Linked DNA regions of Nothobranchius furzeri. The protein of the gene in region 2 purifies or fractionates together with the protein of the main gene of each other region. This does not show direct contact. Links are inferred from orthologs where the notes say so. Each region holds a gene or a part of one and is shown on either strand. Other genes may lie near its edges. The genes, in order: cdk2 and ccne2.

Region 1 (7,599 bases), on a different chromosome or scaffold from region 2:
GGGGAAAGATGGTTTGTAGTCTGGCATGGATGTGACTCCAGGCCAAACGGTCTCATCAGGCGTTCCCAAGGTTCGAAAGATTCGGAACAACTGGTCTATCTCAGAGTCGCCGGGGAATAAAGCCCTCCTGGTGATCTGTGGACACAGGTGTACTAGTTAGATGTCAACAACACTCCACATCACACAAACGCTGTTTATTTTGATTTATGAGGCTGTGTTTATCACCATTTCAGCAAAGATGCACCCCAGACTCCAGATGTCAACAGCTGTGGAATAGTATTTGCAGCCCAGGAGGATTTCTGGTGCTCTGTACCAAAGTGTTACCACCTGGAAATTCAGAAAAGTGGTTTTGTACAAGAAGCTAAAAGAATAAACTAAGCTGTCCTGATAAAACCCACTTAGACAGCTTACCTCATGTGTGTATGTTCGTACGGGTACCCCAAAGGCTCTCGCCAGGCCAAAGTCAGCCAGCTTGATCTCACCTTGGGCGTTGATGAGCAGGTTTTGAGGCTTCAGGTCTCGATGAAGAACTCTGTGGGAGTGACAGAAGGCCAGGCCTTGCAGCAACTGGAAGAGATAACTCTAAAAGAACAACAAAAGTAAGATCAGATCTAATTTGCACAGAAGATTCAATCCTAACATTTTGAGGACTGACAGTCACAAAGTGATGACTACCTTGACCAAAGGCAGCGGGATTCCTGTGACTGAGGAGGAATCCATGAACTTTTTCAGATCCTGATGAAGGAACTCAAAAACAAGGTAAAGTTTGTTCTCCGTATGGATGACGTCCTGGAGTCTAATAAAAAAACAAAAACAAATGATGACAGTTGGCAACGGTTCAGACGTGCTCTGGCCGTGGCTCAAACACTAAGAACTTACTTGACAATATTTGAGTGACTGAGTTCTTTGAGGAGTGAAATTTCCCGGATGGCCGTGCTTGGTACGCCTTCTGTTTCTCTGCATTAGGGACAAACAAACCAGAGCTTTACACCAAAACAAATAATGACCAGCAAGCAGGCATTGCTGAATACAGTAGTGATGCACCGATATGAAATTTTGGGCCGATGCTGATATTAAAATCGCTGTTATGACCGATAACCGATATTTGCCTAGACTGTTATACTGACATTAATCTGTCTAAAATCAACAGATTTTGTATAGAATGAAAATTATTAAAGCTGAATTTACCGTATTATGTACACACACAACACACACATGCTTCTGAGATGATTTCATTCACTGTCACATGACTAAACAAATACACATCACCCCCTCACCCTCTGAAACAGATAAACAAATGGAGACAAGATTGAAAAAATATCGGTTGTTCATATCGGCCCACTTTTATTTATCAGGCCGATACCAATATGTTAAAAAATGACTAACATTGGCCAATACCGATATTGATGCTGATATATTGTCCATCCCTAGAATACGGTCATTCCCTTTAACAAGGATTATACAGTGCTGCAAAAACATATACTCCCTTACACATTTATTGTTTTAGGCATTCATTTATGAATTTATTCTACAAATTGCCATATCAGACACCGATGATGAGTAAAACGCAAAATGCTTTTCATGTCACGCAGCTGCTCTCCTCATATCCCAAATGGTCCCGATGGTTGTTGTCACTGCTTCTGCTGCATGCTCGCGTTCATTTTCGCTTTTGTTTTCGTCCTAACGGCTCACGCCATATTGTCTTTTTATTGTTTTTATAGATGGTGTTGGATACGTCTGTACGGGGAGTTAACCGAGGTTAACAGTCAAACCGGTTAATCCCTGCAACCCTAACCTCGAACGGATTAAATTATGGCGTACTTTGACGGAATAAAAATTTTAAAGGTGCATTATGTAGAAATGAAGTCAAAATTTTATCCTGTGCTTTTTGCCGGCAGTTGTCAAATTACAACTGTCGGCGCTGCGGTATTAGCTTGCAGTAGATATGGCACCCCCTCACTCACTGATGGTAAACAGTAGTTACGACCCTCCTTTTGTTTTGAATGGAGAAAAAGTGGCAATCCCCACAACCAGCTGGATATGAAATATGTTTCAGTGTAACCTTTCTTCCAAAATGACTGAAACATTAGACTCTTTTGGGACTTTCTCACTGTAAAATTCTTACTATATTCTTACACTTTTAAAATGTTTTAATTGTCTATGGACGCGCTGATCAGTGACGTCACTCATTGCAAACATGCTGATGATATGCTGACGTATTTGCAAAGTCCTGAAAAGGCTGATTTTGTACAGACACAACGGCTGAAAACACTGATCCATTGTGTTTTCCTGGAACTTCAATAGTGGAAACATGGCTATCGAGTACGCTAAATGATCCCACACAGCAGCAGATGGTGCCTTTGCTAGTTTAAGGTCAAATTCAACAATAAGAAAGAGATGAGACAAAAAAGCCTCTATGGGACAGTTCCGTAAAACATCTCTGGTGACCACACAAAGACCCATCTCACCGTCTCCAAAGAGCATCTTGATGATATTTTAGAAAGTGGAACACTTGTTTAATCAATGCATTTTTGTAGTAGTCTCTAGTACTAATAAATGACGAGTAAGTTGTTTGCAGGGGGAAGAAATATCCCAGTGCACCATTCTTCTGACCTAAAATTTGCCCACATCACAGCAGACCTTCTGATGGCAGGATTTGGAGTCTTTTTCCTGATATTTGGACATCTCACTCCGGATCGGACAACAGCAATGCAACTCGACCACTGATTTGCAACATAGACATTTTATCTCCACAAATAACACAAGGCTGGAGGAACTTCGGCTGTGTGGTGGCATTGCTAATGCTAAAGGTTAGCTTGAATTAGCTGAGAAGTTCTCTGCTGTTTCCTGGACACTAGAACAAAAAATTTACTGGACACTAATCCAACAACACCCAAGATGGGTGAGTCCATGAATGTTATTCAGTGTGACGTAGATCTGTCAGGCTTTTCTAATTCTAGTTTCACCGTCTATTTTCTATCAGAAGCTAATGCAGGAGAAAGGTGTGGGAGACTATTTTCATGTTCAGTCTGCATGAAAAACTCAGTAACCATAATCAGGAAAAACATATTTAAAATGGTTTTTCAGTCAACAGCATCTTTGAGACTTTTTTGAAAATATTCTCTGGAGTGGTGAGACTATTTTGGTGAAAAACTAACTTCAGAAACACATCAATATACCAACAGTCAGACACGGTGGTGGCAGAGTGATGGTCTGGGGCTGCTTCAGGACCTTGACCACTTACTGTAATTGATGGAACCATGACTTCAAACATGTCAACCCACTCGTTTGGCTGGAATAAAACAATGTCAAAAAAATGTGGTCTAGGAATCCTTCACAGCAATGTAAGCCTTGTTATTAGTTCTCACAGATGCTTGATGGATGTTTATGCAGCTAAGGGTGTTGATTGGTTGTTTGTTTCCTTAATAAATAAATTAAATCATCATTTGAAAACTGCTTTCTGTTTTTACTTTGATCATCTCTGGTATTTGTGTTGGAAGACATCGATAAGGATCCAAATGCTTTTTTCAGAGTGCTGAAGTTTGGGTATGTTGGTAGTTTGACAGCTTGAGATACTGAAAGGTACCCTCCTACAGCAGCAAAACTATAAAACATGTCCATTCAACTAATAAATCAACCAAAGGAATGAAACAGAATAGCATTCAATGTAGAGTCAGAAAACTACTTCTGATCACTCACTAGTAACATCTGATCGTAGACTAAAACACAAGACAATGAAAAATTCCCTTAAATAGTTACATATTTCACTTGCTCAGACGCTTTTACCCAAAGCGACTTGCAAAAAATTGTAAGTCGCTTTGGGTAAAAGCGTCTGCTAAGCACATAAGCATAAACATAAACAAACATATCCAGCTAACCTACAGGGTTATATCCAAGGATGCTACGTCACTTAGTCCTGTGTGGAGGTTATATTAGGCACTGAATAATTACAGTTTAACGAGAAACGCTTATTTCTGTTGTTGCAGGAAGTGGGCAGACGATCACCAGCCACGAGGTCGTGGATAAAAAAAAAATCTGAAGCATTAGTGGATGTTTTTAGCGCGGCGTTAGCTCTGGAGATAACTCCTGCCTCTTAACTTACGTGTCCAGGCGGATTTTCTTCAGAGCAACAGTTTCTCCGGTCACTTTATTCTTGGCTTTGTACACCACTCCATACGTCCCTTCTCCTATCTTCTCCACTTTCTGAAATGAGTCCATTTTGCTTACAAGAGCGGGACTGTTTAAAGTTTAGCTGCTTAGCAATACTGGTCTCTTTGTGTGCGCGCTAGCAGCAGCAGCGACAGCGGCTCGGTGGCTACAGAGGGGCGATGTTAAGGAGCAACGCGGGGACAAACCGACACTAACCGCCGCCCCGGCTCCCTTCGGCCAGTCCGGAAACAGCCGAGCGGGAGATAGGGGGTTCGTGTAGAAGATGAAACGCTCTCAGATCAAACGACAACACAAAAACAGGTATATGGGCATGTGTGCCCAGCCTCGATAGTAATTATGTGGATTAATTCAAAAGGGGAGCGCGACGGTCGCAGCTCAGTCCACAAAACTGAACCAACACAGCGGCGTTTCCCGCGTTGTAAGAGGAGCGTTCGTTTTTGACTTCATGATACACCGATTATTTCGAATGGGTGGCACTGTACTCTTTATTTTATTGCTTATCTTGCAGTGTTCTCACAGGGGACCGCTATGAATGAATCCAACGCTTTAGATTAGATAAAAATGTTCACAAAAGTACTTCTGGTGTTTGTTAAATTTAACGTGTTGTTAGAAATCACCAGAAGTTGGGATGAGACGGAGACACTAAATGAGCAGCCCTCACTGGTCACATGATCAAAATGGATGACGTACCCTGACGTCATCTTAGAGGGATGTGGAGTGCTTTTGTTTGTAAAAAATGTGTTTATAAAATTATTTTCTTGTCAATTAGATCTAATTTCACAAACATTAATTCCATTTTAGCCTACCATCATATAAGTTTAAAGTTGCCATTGTTAGTTTTTTAAACATTTAATTAATTTCTTTACCTTAGAACAGGAGTCCTCAACCAAGTTTGGTCCTGAGGTTTTTACAGTAGACGGGCCAGATGCACTCTAAAATAACTAAAAGCATTATTGTATCTTAATTTATCAATAATTTAAATGACTTTGTTTTCCACCTAAACTGTCTTCATTGTAGTTTTAGTTGTGGTTGGAGAATGTAAACAATTATTGGGGGGGGGGGGGGGGGGGGGGGGGGGGGCAAAGAATTGGGACTACAGCCCTGCACAGGCCTAAAATCTGAGCCCGTGTCCGCCCGGCCCGAGGGGGTGGAGCCCCAGCCCAAACCAGTCCGAAAAAGTTTTCAGGATTCTCTGGCCCAACCCGAGCCCGAGGCCGACTTTTTTTCTTTAACCTTTCATGATGTTTTAGCGTGATAGAAGGCTCAGCATTCTAATTATCTGTGGGAAGCGTTCCGTAGTAAAAAAAAAAAAAAAAAAAAAGAAAGGAAAGAAAGAAAAACAGCATTCAATGCAGCTTTTTTTTCTAACAGCGTATTTTTCGAGCAGCAGATGAAATTTACGAACACTATATTAATTGGATGCGTTTGTAAATTTTATCTGCTCTGAAAATGCGCTCTTGTGCAATTAGGAAAAAAAAAGCAGCATTCTAATTTTCTAACTGCAGAGCACATTTTCAGAAACACCCCCAATTAATATAGCGTTTGTAAATTTAATCTGCCACTCTGAAAATGCGCTCTCCAACCCAGTAGTGAATGCTGTATTTTTTTTTTACTGCAGAGCGAATTTATTAACAGAAAAATAGAATGCTGCCATTTTCATGAGAATAAACGAATGGTTTTTGACATATCAAAGTGGACATAAAATGGCATATTAGAATAGGGGCACATGTTTCAATCAGTAGTTTGAGAATTTGTTTATATAGGCACATTTATAAACCACACAGACCTTAACAGAGCTAATGGGTGCCAGTGCGTGAGAAGCAGGCAGGTGCTGCTGCGTTTAAGTATTTCAGTTTTTTTTAATGAATTCACTTAAAAATAAAGGCACCCGGCCCGGCCCGTGTCCGAGGTAATTACACAGTCGTTGGCCCGAAGCCCGGCCCTCGGGCCGTCGGGCCGGGCCGACCCGAGGGCCCACGGCTTCAGTGCAGGGCTCTACTTGGGACCCAGGTGGAAAGGTCTGGTGGTCCGAATGTGGCCCACGAGCCTCCAGTTGAGGTTCACTGCCTTAGAGGCTAATTTTTTTGCCTTTACAAAACCTGAAATTTATATTTAAAGATTAAACAAACTAACCGATTCTTAACATGAGATGAAACTGTTATTTATTTATTTCAACATTTTCTTTTTTGCACTTCATTAATAATGGCCTAATGACTTTTAAACATTTTGTTCACCTATTTATATATTGTCTTTTTTTCTCCCTATTGTTCAAAACTTTTTTGTACCTGTGTATGTTTGATGCACTGAAACAACACAAAAATCTATGAATGAGAAGAAAGAAAAAGGTAAACATACCTTACATTATTGTTACTTTCTTCCACATTCTCATAGCTTTTTCAGTCAATCAAACTTTATTCCAGACAAAAACAATGTGTCCAAGTCATAAGACACCAAAGATAAAAAAGTGGAGGTTAAAAATGGTTTAACAAAGACATATAAAAAAAAGAAATTTTTCTCAAAATATGACTTCATTGTTTTTTCAGAACATTTGATAAGGACATTAAATTGCTTTTGATCCTTTTGTGTGTAATGTGGTAAATGTATATGGTAATCTTGTGCAGTGACAGAACAAAATAGAGTTAGTAGTGCCCTCTAGTGGAAACAAACATTTATTTATTTCTGTCTTTATTTGCATCCCATAGACTCTTAGCTCTGTTGTCTGTACTCTTTCCATTCATCATTTTCATAATTTCTGTGAATATATTTTATTGTTTAGAAACAAAAACCTGATTATTTCCATGACAACAGATCTTACAGCACAGTGGCGTATTATGAGGGACTGACTGACTCCTTCACGTGGTTCTCCCAGGCATGCAGACAACAGCGTTCATCTCTAGATGGAAGGGCAGGATTAAACATTTTAGCTGAACTTTGAAATAAAAAAGATCTGCTGCTCCTCCTGAAGAATGTATCTGATGCTCTTTAGACCATGTTGACACCACTGTTCATGGTTCAGACTATCTGGATTGCCCTCTGGGTGAGAAGCACCACCATCTCATCTAAGGCAGTGTTTCCACATTAGTAAACATCCAGTCACAAAGGGGACTCTGACTGACCAGAACTTATTTAACGTGACATTTTCATTTGAAATTTTGGCTTCTTCACACCAAACGGATGGCAGCTTGAGTAGCTCCATAAGAAATATATGATGAACCATCTCAAGTCAGATGTTCTGTGAGGAACGGTTTCTGTGTCTGTTCAGACATAGAAATAATTCACATTTTAATAATGCACATGACCAAATCCCTGAGGCTTAGCACACAACAGATTTACTACACAAACCCTTTCTCTACAAAGCTATCATTTCTCATTATTTTTGCTTTATAAGTGTTCTTAAATCAGATTTGGTTTCTTAGAAAATGTTCAGTA
Region 2 (6,199 bases):
ATTTATATACAGCTCAGTTGGTTCACTACATAAGTTTACAGCCACAAGGTTTTAATTTCCACCTTTCAGCTTGCTGCAGCTTAAATTAAATTCATGTACAGTTTATTTGTTTCCCCTCGACAGACGGAAGGCACTAAATACAAATATACAACATTTAATGCAGAATTGCAACAGGTGTTACGGAGCTAAATCATAAATAGCCCTTTGCCTTTGGCAGCGAGCGATCGGTCAGAACGACTTCACACTTTCTTTCTTTACACACACTAAGGCTCATCAATAAATACAAGCTCTTAAAAAGGAAGCGTAAAAATCTGCAGTTGTCAAGTTTCCCAGGAATGTAACGAACAAAAGCTGCAACCAAGTTCTAAACACGGTTACACACAATAAAATAAAATATTAAATGGAATTCAGCCACAAGCAGATCAGGTAAAATAAAATTTAAAAAAATTTAAACACACCTGTGGCTCCTGTAGATATGAAATGCTTTGCAAGTCTATTAACTCGGTGGTGATACACAGGAAACATGCCTGAGTATAGTTCAGGTAAAAAGAAAAAACATTACGCTTCCATTTCCACCCGTTTAAGATGGATTTTAAGTTTTAAAAACACTAAATCAGGCTCCCCCCCAATTTCCTGAAGCACTATCTGGAAGCATCATGCCCCAGCATAAGAGAAGCACCAGTAAATTCTCACAGGCACAAAACCCACCAGCTTCACCGCCGCGTCTCGGTCTGACAGCAGCCAGTTTCAAGTCTATCTAGACCGCCGCGGCTGATTCAGACCGCAATAATACTTCATGAAAATCAAAAATATCATCCGAGTTGCTCTGGAGATCCGAGAGGTTTCTAGGAAAACACCAGATTTCCTGACGCAGCAATTAGCTGAAAACTACTCCGTCTGGTCAGAAATCAGAGCTTAGTGTTACGAAAACATAAAAACAAAAACTTTTCTGATCAGCGAATAGGCAGTCGCTTCAGGGAGGTAGCTCGTCCTGACGGTGGTCGTCGTCACATCAGGGATTGGCAAATTTCTCTGCGCTGCTGGGTGGAGTTAGGACTGTTGCCACGGCAACAGGTGACCACTGACATTCTGAAGTGTCAGCCTGATGCTCTTGGACTTTTCTCTGCATGAAAAAAAAAAAGTTTGAATTACACACACACACACACACACACACACACACGTTTAAATGATGCAAACTTTACATCATTTATATAAACAAAAGTTTTTCTCACCAGCAGCTCCAGATAGGCCACGTGTGTCTGGATGTTGTGTCGATCGTCAGATTTGACTTTAGAGAAGTTCTTGAGTTGAGGCTTGGCTTCAGAACGCAGCGTCTCCATGAAGGGACTCATCCACCGATAACAAGAAACCACGCTGTCCAAAGTCAGGCCTGCAGAATAATCATTAATACAAGTTTAACCTCTTATCTGAACAAGCCAACAGACATAAAGGACTGGTGAAACAGGAAAGACGAGTCACTGAATGAAGCTTTTTAAAAGCTTAAGTACTCACCTGAGACTTTATGAACAATGTCAAACGAAGAGAAGTGGCAGAAGGCGGCGGCAGCGAGAACACTGTAGCTGTAGTCCAACGAGCTGATGTCCATCATACACAAATCCAGCAGCTGTAATAAAACAACAATCAGCACAAATGACTTCACAAACCCTTAAAAAAAAAAAAAAACTAGTTAGAGCGCTGAACGTACCTGCGTGATCTGGATGTAGGTCTCCTGACAGAACTGAGGCTCCAGGAAGTTCTCACCATCTTTTTGAGCTTCTACTTGAGCGTACAACTTCAACCAGGAGATGGGGGTCTCCGGGCACAAGTTCCAGTCTAACGTCTGAGATTACAATCCAGTCAACACCAGAACGACTGTTACCAAACACACAGGTGAGAACGAATCACGCACCTTCAATATCTGCAGCTCTGTGCGCTGGATGTCCCACATGTCACACGCTCCGTCTGTGACGTAGGCAAACTCGTAGATCTTCGGGGGATAGATTTCCTGGAAAAGAAAAACAAAACTTATATTAATTCAGTATTAAAGTAACAGTTGGAACTAAAAGTGCACAAAGGTGGGACTCACCTCGATCTTGGAGGCGATGAACAGAGCTGTGATGCCGATGAGTTGCAGGAGGTCTTTGCTGACGTTCTCCTGAGTCAGCATGTAGCGATCAAAGTAGTCCTGAGCCAAGTACGCCGTCTGTCTGTGGAGGCTGTACACCTCACTCACCTGCACGGAGAAACAAAACGGCACTCAAGACGACATCAGAGTAACGCTGTATTCAGCCCAGCTCCACGACTCACCTCTAGAAGCCAGTCCAACAGGATCGCCCTCATCTTGGGCTGCAGTTTGGGGTGTCGCTGCAGGTAACTCTTGTCATGAATGTACTTCAGCTCCTTATTCAGCATTTTAATCCACACATCGTCGGAACTTGCCCAGCTGCGACACAAAAGCTCGTTATTAACATGTGCCGACCTAAATGTGGAGACTTGCTTCAGCTCACTGGTCCAGAGGCAAAACCTAAACACATTACACAACCCACGACTCGCCTGCCGAGAGGGGAAACACTGAAACTTGATCAAATCACACATTCTGCTAAACTATTAAGTAAACAAAAGCTGTAAACTTTGAATGCATGTGTGGGCGGAGTGTCAGCCAGGGGACAAAGGACCATTTCACCGTGGAGTGAAAAGGCATGATGGCGTCATTGACGTGTAAAATCTGGTCTTACCTGAGGCAGGGGATAGGGGAGGCCTTGATGAAGAGGTTCTTGAATCGGTACTGTTTGAAACTAGACGGGTCTGAAGGCTCCAGCTCTTTGTGAGGCGTTTCAATGAGGACACATGGACTCGCACCATCCTCCAACCAGCACTTCTAGGAGAACAGAAACAAAATGAACTTAAAATAAAGTCTCAAATAAAAATGTTATTGATATGTTCTATAAAATAATATTTGGAGTTGTTTTTTAACCAGATATAGGAATATTCAAAATAGTTTGCATAAAACTTAAGTAGTTTTCTGAAAATAGGCTTTTACTCTACATAAACAGCGACACCTACTGTTGACAAATCGGTACTACATAACTTATGATAATCCTCAAGTGCATCTCTTTAGACTGACCATATCCGAGTAGTAAAACATTTTTTTTTAAACCTTCAAAATGGAAATCTTATAATTAGAAACATTGTAATAAAGTATAAGTTTATTAAAAATAAACATTAAAACTGACTTATTAAATAGAAGGGTGGGCCATCAAAATACATAGTATGTACTAGAGTACTTATCACACACACGAACACACACACACCTGTATTTCATAGCTTTGCTTCTTGGCAGCAGGTTGGAGATTCTTCTTTGAGAGCTGTGGGGGAAAAGGGGTAATTGTCAAACTGCTACAACATGATGTCACGACTAAAGAAACAAACACAAACTAAAAATAAAACAAACCTCTGTCTTTCTTTTCTTTAGTGGGATTCTGACTGTTGGCTCAGGTGTGTTTGAATCTCTGGCTTGAAGAGTGATACGACCACTGAACACAAATATCAATTATTATTACTAACACACAATAAGCATCCTCTAACCACAATAAAATCAATTTTGATAGAAAAAGGAAATGCTACAGAACATAATTGCATATTGTAGGATGTTTGGGCTAGAAAAGATTTAATAATCACCAGCTCACATGTAAATTCTGTTAAATTATTTTAAGTACAATCAAATAAATGTGTCAAACTATGTCACCAGTAAAGTGTTACACAACTGTTGTACACTCGCATACCTGCGTCTGGACATGGTGCTGACTTTAGTTTTTGCTCCCCTGCAAATAGAAAAAAAAGATGATTTTGGTGATTAATCATACAATTAAACATGTATTAGGACAGATTTGGGAGACTGTTCTTACAAACTTGATCTAACACCTAATGACTAAGTGAAGAGGCCATTCTCTGGTTCCCCTCAAAATGATCAATATGAAATGAGGGTTCACAAGCAGACCCAAAATGGCTCCAATACATGCTGTAGAATATATCCCATTATTATGTATATATACGGTTATAATAATATATTAAGTGTCCTCTATAAATACCCAGTGATGCCACCCAAATGTCACAGTAACCACAGAGGTATGAATCCCCAGGATCAGCTTAGAAACTGATTTATGAACGGACTAGCTTGTCGCAGCAGATGTAGCGTTAGCTTGTGACCGCCACAAGAGAGGCACGAAGTCACCCGATAAAACCAAAACTAGGCTGCAAACTCAACCAGCTTGACCAGGTGGGACATTTCTACACGTCCGCGGATCACAACCGATAAGAAAAAGTGATTAAAATTAATAATAAAGAGTCGAAATTTGCCCAGAAAGTTCTGTAAGCTAGTATGGAGCCGACTAGAGCCCAGAAGAAGGGGGGCTGATTAGTCTCTCGACTTTAGACAAAAAAAGTTCAAAAATAAGACATTTTAACTAAAGTTTATCGACTTCATCCACGAGGCACACGTCTTTTTGTCTGTTTAGACTAGTTTTGGTGGTCAAAATGTTGGTATTTTTAAGTCTTTTTGAGGATTGAAACTCAAACACGCGCCAATTTCCACAACGTAGAAGCGGGAGGATTTCAGCCCAGCCTCTCGGTACCTGCCCAACGTCTGCGAGGGAAAACTAGTATACACGACTAGTTTTAACCTTTAAACTGGTTTAAACTGCTAGTATAGCCTCTTTACTACCACATACTTAACAGGGGCTTGTTTTAGAGCCCGTTTAACGCCAATAAAGTCGGTTAAAGTCGCGGCAACAATGTGGTGGGTAGCTACTGTAATTAGCGAACTAAGCCCGGTTTCAGCTAACTAGGTCAATAATAACCGACTGTCCCCAACATGCAGATAAACTGGTCATCTTTAGCTTCAGCACACAAACATCTGAATACCAGCAAGGTCTAGGGAAACGGCTGACAAAGCAGATAAGACGACGAAAACTTAGTTAAAACCTAATGTTTGTACAAACTAGTTTCCCCAAACTTTAACTGAGGATAAATATGCAAACCACTCAAACCGAGGTACAGCAGTATACAGTGATAATGCAGTTTTCGTTTGATGAATAAAAGTAAGAATTGTTATTATTCTGCATGCTATTTTCCATCTCTGATTTAAAGTTGTTTTTACAAAACTCCACTTGGATAAAGACACATTACAGCATAAACCCCTAAAGTAGACAACCCAAGAGCGGATTACAACAGTATAAAATAGTTAAAATAGCTACTCTGATCAGGTCAGCTGTCAGCTCCAGCTCGGTGATCTTACCTCTTCAGTGAAGAATGAATGACTGCATCAGCTGTGGCGCCGGCGCCAATCCTTATATCCGCATAAAGACAAGGGCGCCAGTGCGCATGCTTGTTCCCGGTTAACACAAACGCGCTAAATGTTCAAATCTGACCGGTGATTTGACAGAAGGTCAACAGAAAGGAGCTCAAACCGGGCAGAATGACCCTGCTCTGTTTTACGGTAACGTATTCTAAGCCTTAGACACTTTTCGAAGAGTTATTTGCCGTGTTTTCCTAAAGTCTGCATTCATTTGTAACGGCCACATAATCGCTGTAACATTTTATGAAGCATATAACTGTTTCCGTACTTCGCGGTTAAATTTTAACGACGCGAAACACGTACAAGAATGCTTTAGAGTTGGTCCAATACGCAGATCTTGTTATTTCGCGAAGTTATACTTCGTTTTTTAAACGAAATTGAAACTGCTTCCGCGTACGGGTCCCGCCTATGGGCGGATTTCCCGTGACGTCAATCCAATGAGCGCGCGAGCAGCGACAACCGCGTGCTGCTTTCAAAAACGTAAACAGAGTGAGCACGTGGGTGTACTGTCAAACCGAAAAACAGCTGTTTAAAGCTTTTATCATAGTTTTTGCTATAATGAACGGAATGATGACTATTACATTTCTGAATTAAATACTTTATCTGATAATAATAAACACATTCAAAATTCTCTCTTCACAACAAACGTGCCAAATGTGAATTTTAAATTACCATAGTAACAAGATACAAAATAATAGCTCAAAATAAAACAATTACTTATAGAGCTAGAAAAAAATCCCTAAATGGTCTAAATAACAGAGACAAAGCATTAAACATAGAAACCACAATAAAATTGGAAAATAATATTAAATATGATATATTAAAAATTTGCCAACTACATAGAAC

Evidence for each region.
Region 1: the proteins of ccne2 (region 2) and cdk2 purify together in Homo sapiens (affinity purification with mass spectrometry; 10 studies listed by BioGRID and IntAct, counting the BioPlex papers as one, with this or other methods). This does not show direct contact. The link is inferred for Nothobranchius furzeri from reciprocal best matches to the Homo sapiens genes CCNE2 and CDK2.

Annotation. Positions count from the first base shown.
Region 1 is NC_091743.1:49,086,793-49,094,391, forward strand, and holds the start of cdk2 (cyclin-dependent kinase 2), read right to left. Parts: upstream 4,361-7,599; 5' UTR 4,219-4,360; coding exon 4,103-4,218; intron 958-4,102; coding exon 880-957; intron 797-879; coding exon 676-796; intron 583-675; coding exon 412-582; intron 328-411; coding exon 226-327; intron 136-225; coding exon 1-135. UniProt on the Homo sapiens protein: Serine/threonine-protein kinase involved in the control of the cell cycle; essential for meiosis, but dispensable for mitosis. Phosphorylates CABLES1, CTNNB1, CDK2AP2, ERCC6, NBN, USP37, p53/TP53, NPM1, CDK7, RB1, BRCA2, MYC, NPAT, EZH2.
Region 2 is NC_091745.1:67,772,349-67,778,547, reverse strand, and holds part of ccne2 (G1/S-specific cyclin-E2), read right to left. Parts: 5' UTR 5,294-6,199; intron 3,822-5,293; 5' UTR 3,797-3,821; coding exon 3,783-3,796; intron 3,534-3,782; coding exon 3,452-3,533; intron 3,366-3,451; coding exon 3,312-3,365; intron 2,879-3,311; coding exon 2,736-2,878; intron 2,444-2,735; coding exon 2,308-2,443; intron 2,234-2,307; coding exon 2,087-2,233; intron 2,006-2,086; coding exon 1,910-2,005; intron 1,841-1,909; coding exon 1,706-1,840; intron 1,625-1,705; coding exon 1,513-1,624; intron 1,391-1,512; coding exon 1,233-1,390; intron 1,124-1,232; coding exon 1,013-1,123; 3' UTR 1-1,012. UniProt on the Homo sapiens protein: Essential for the control of the cell cycle at the late G1 and early S phase.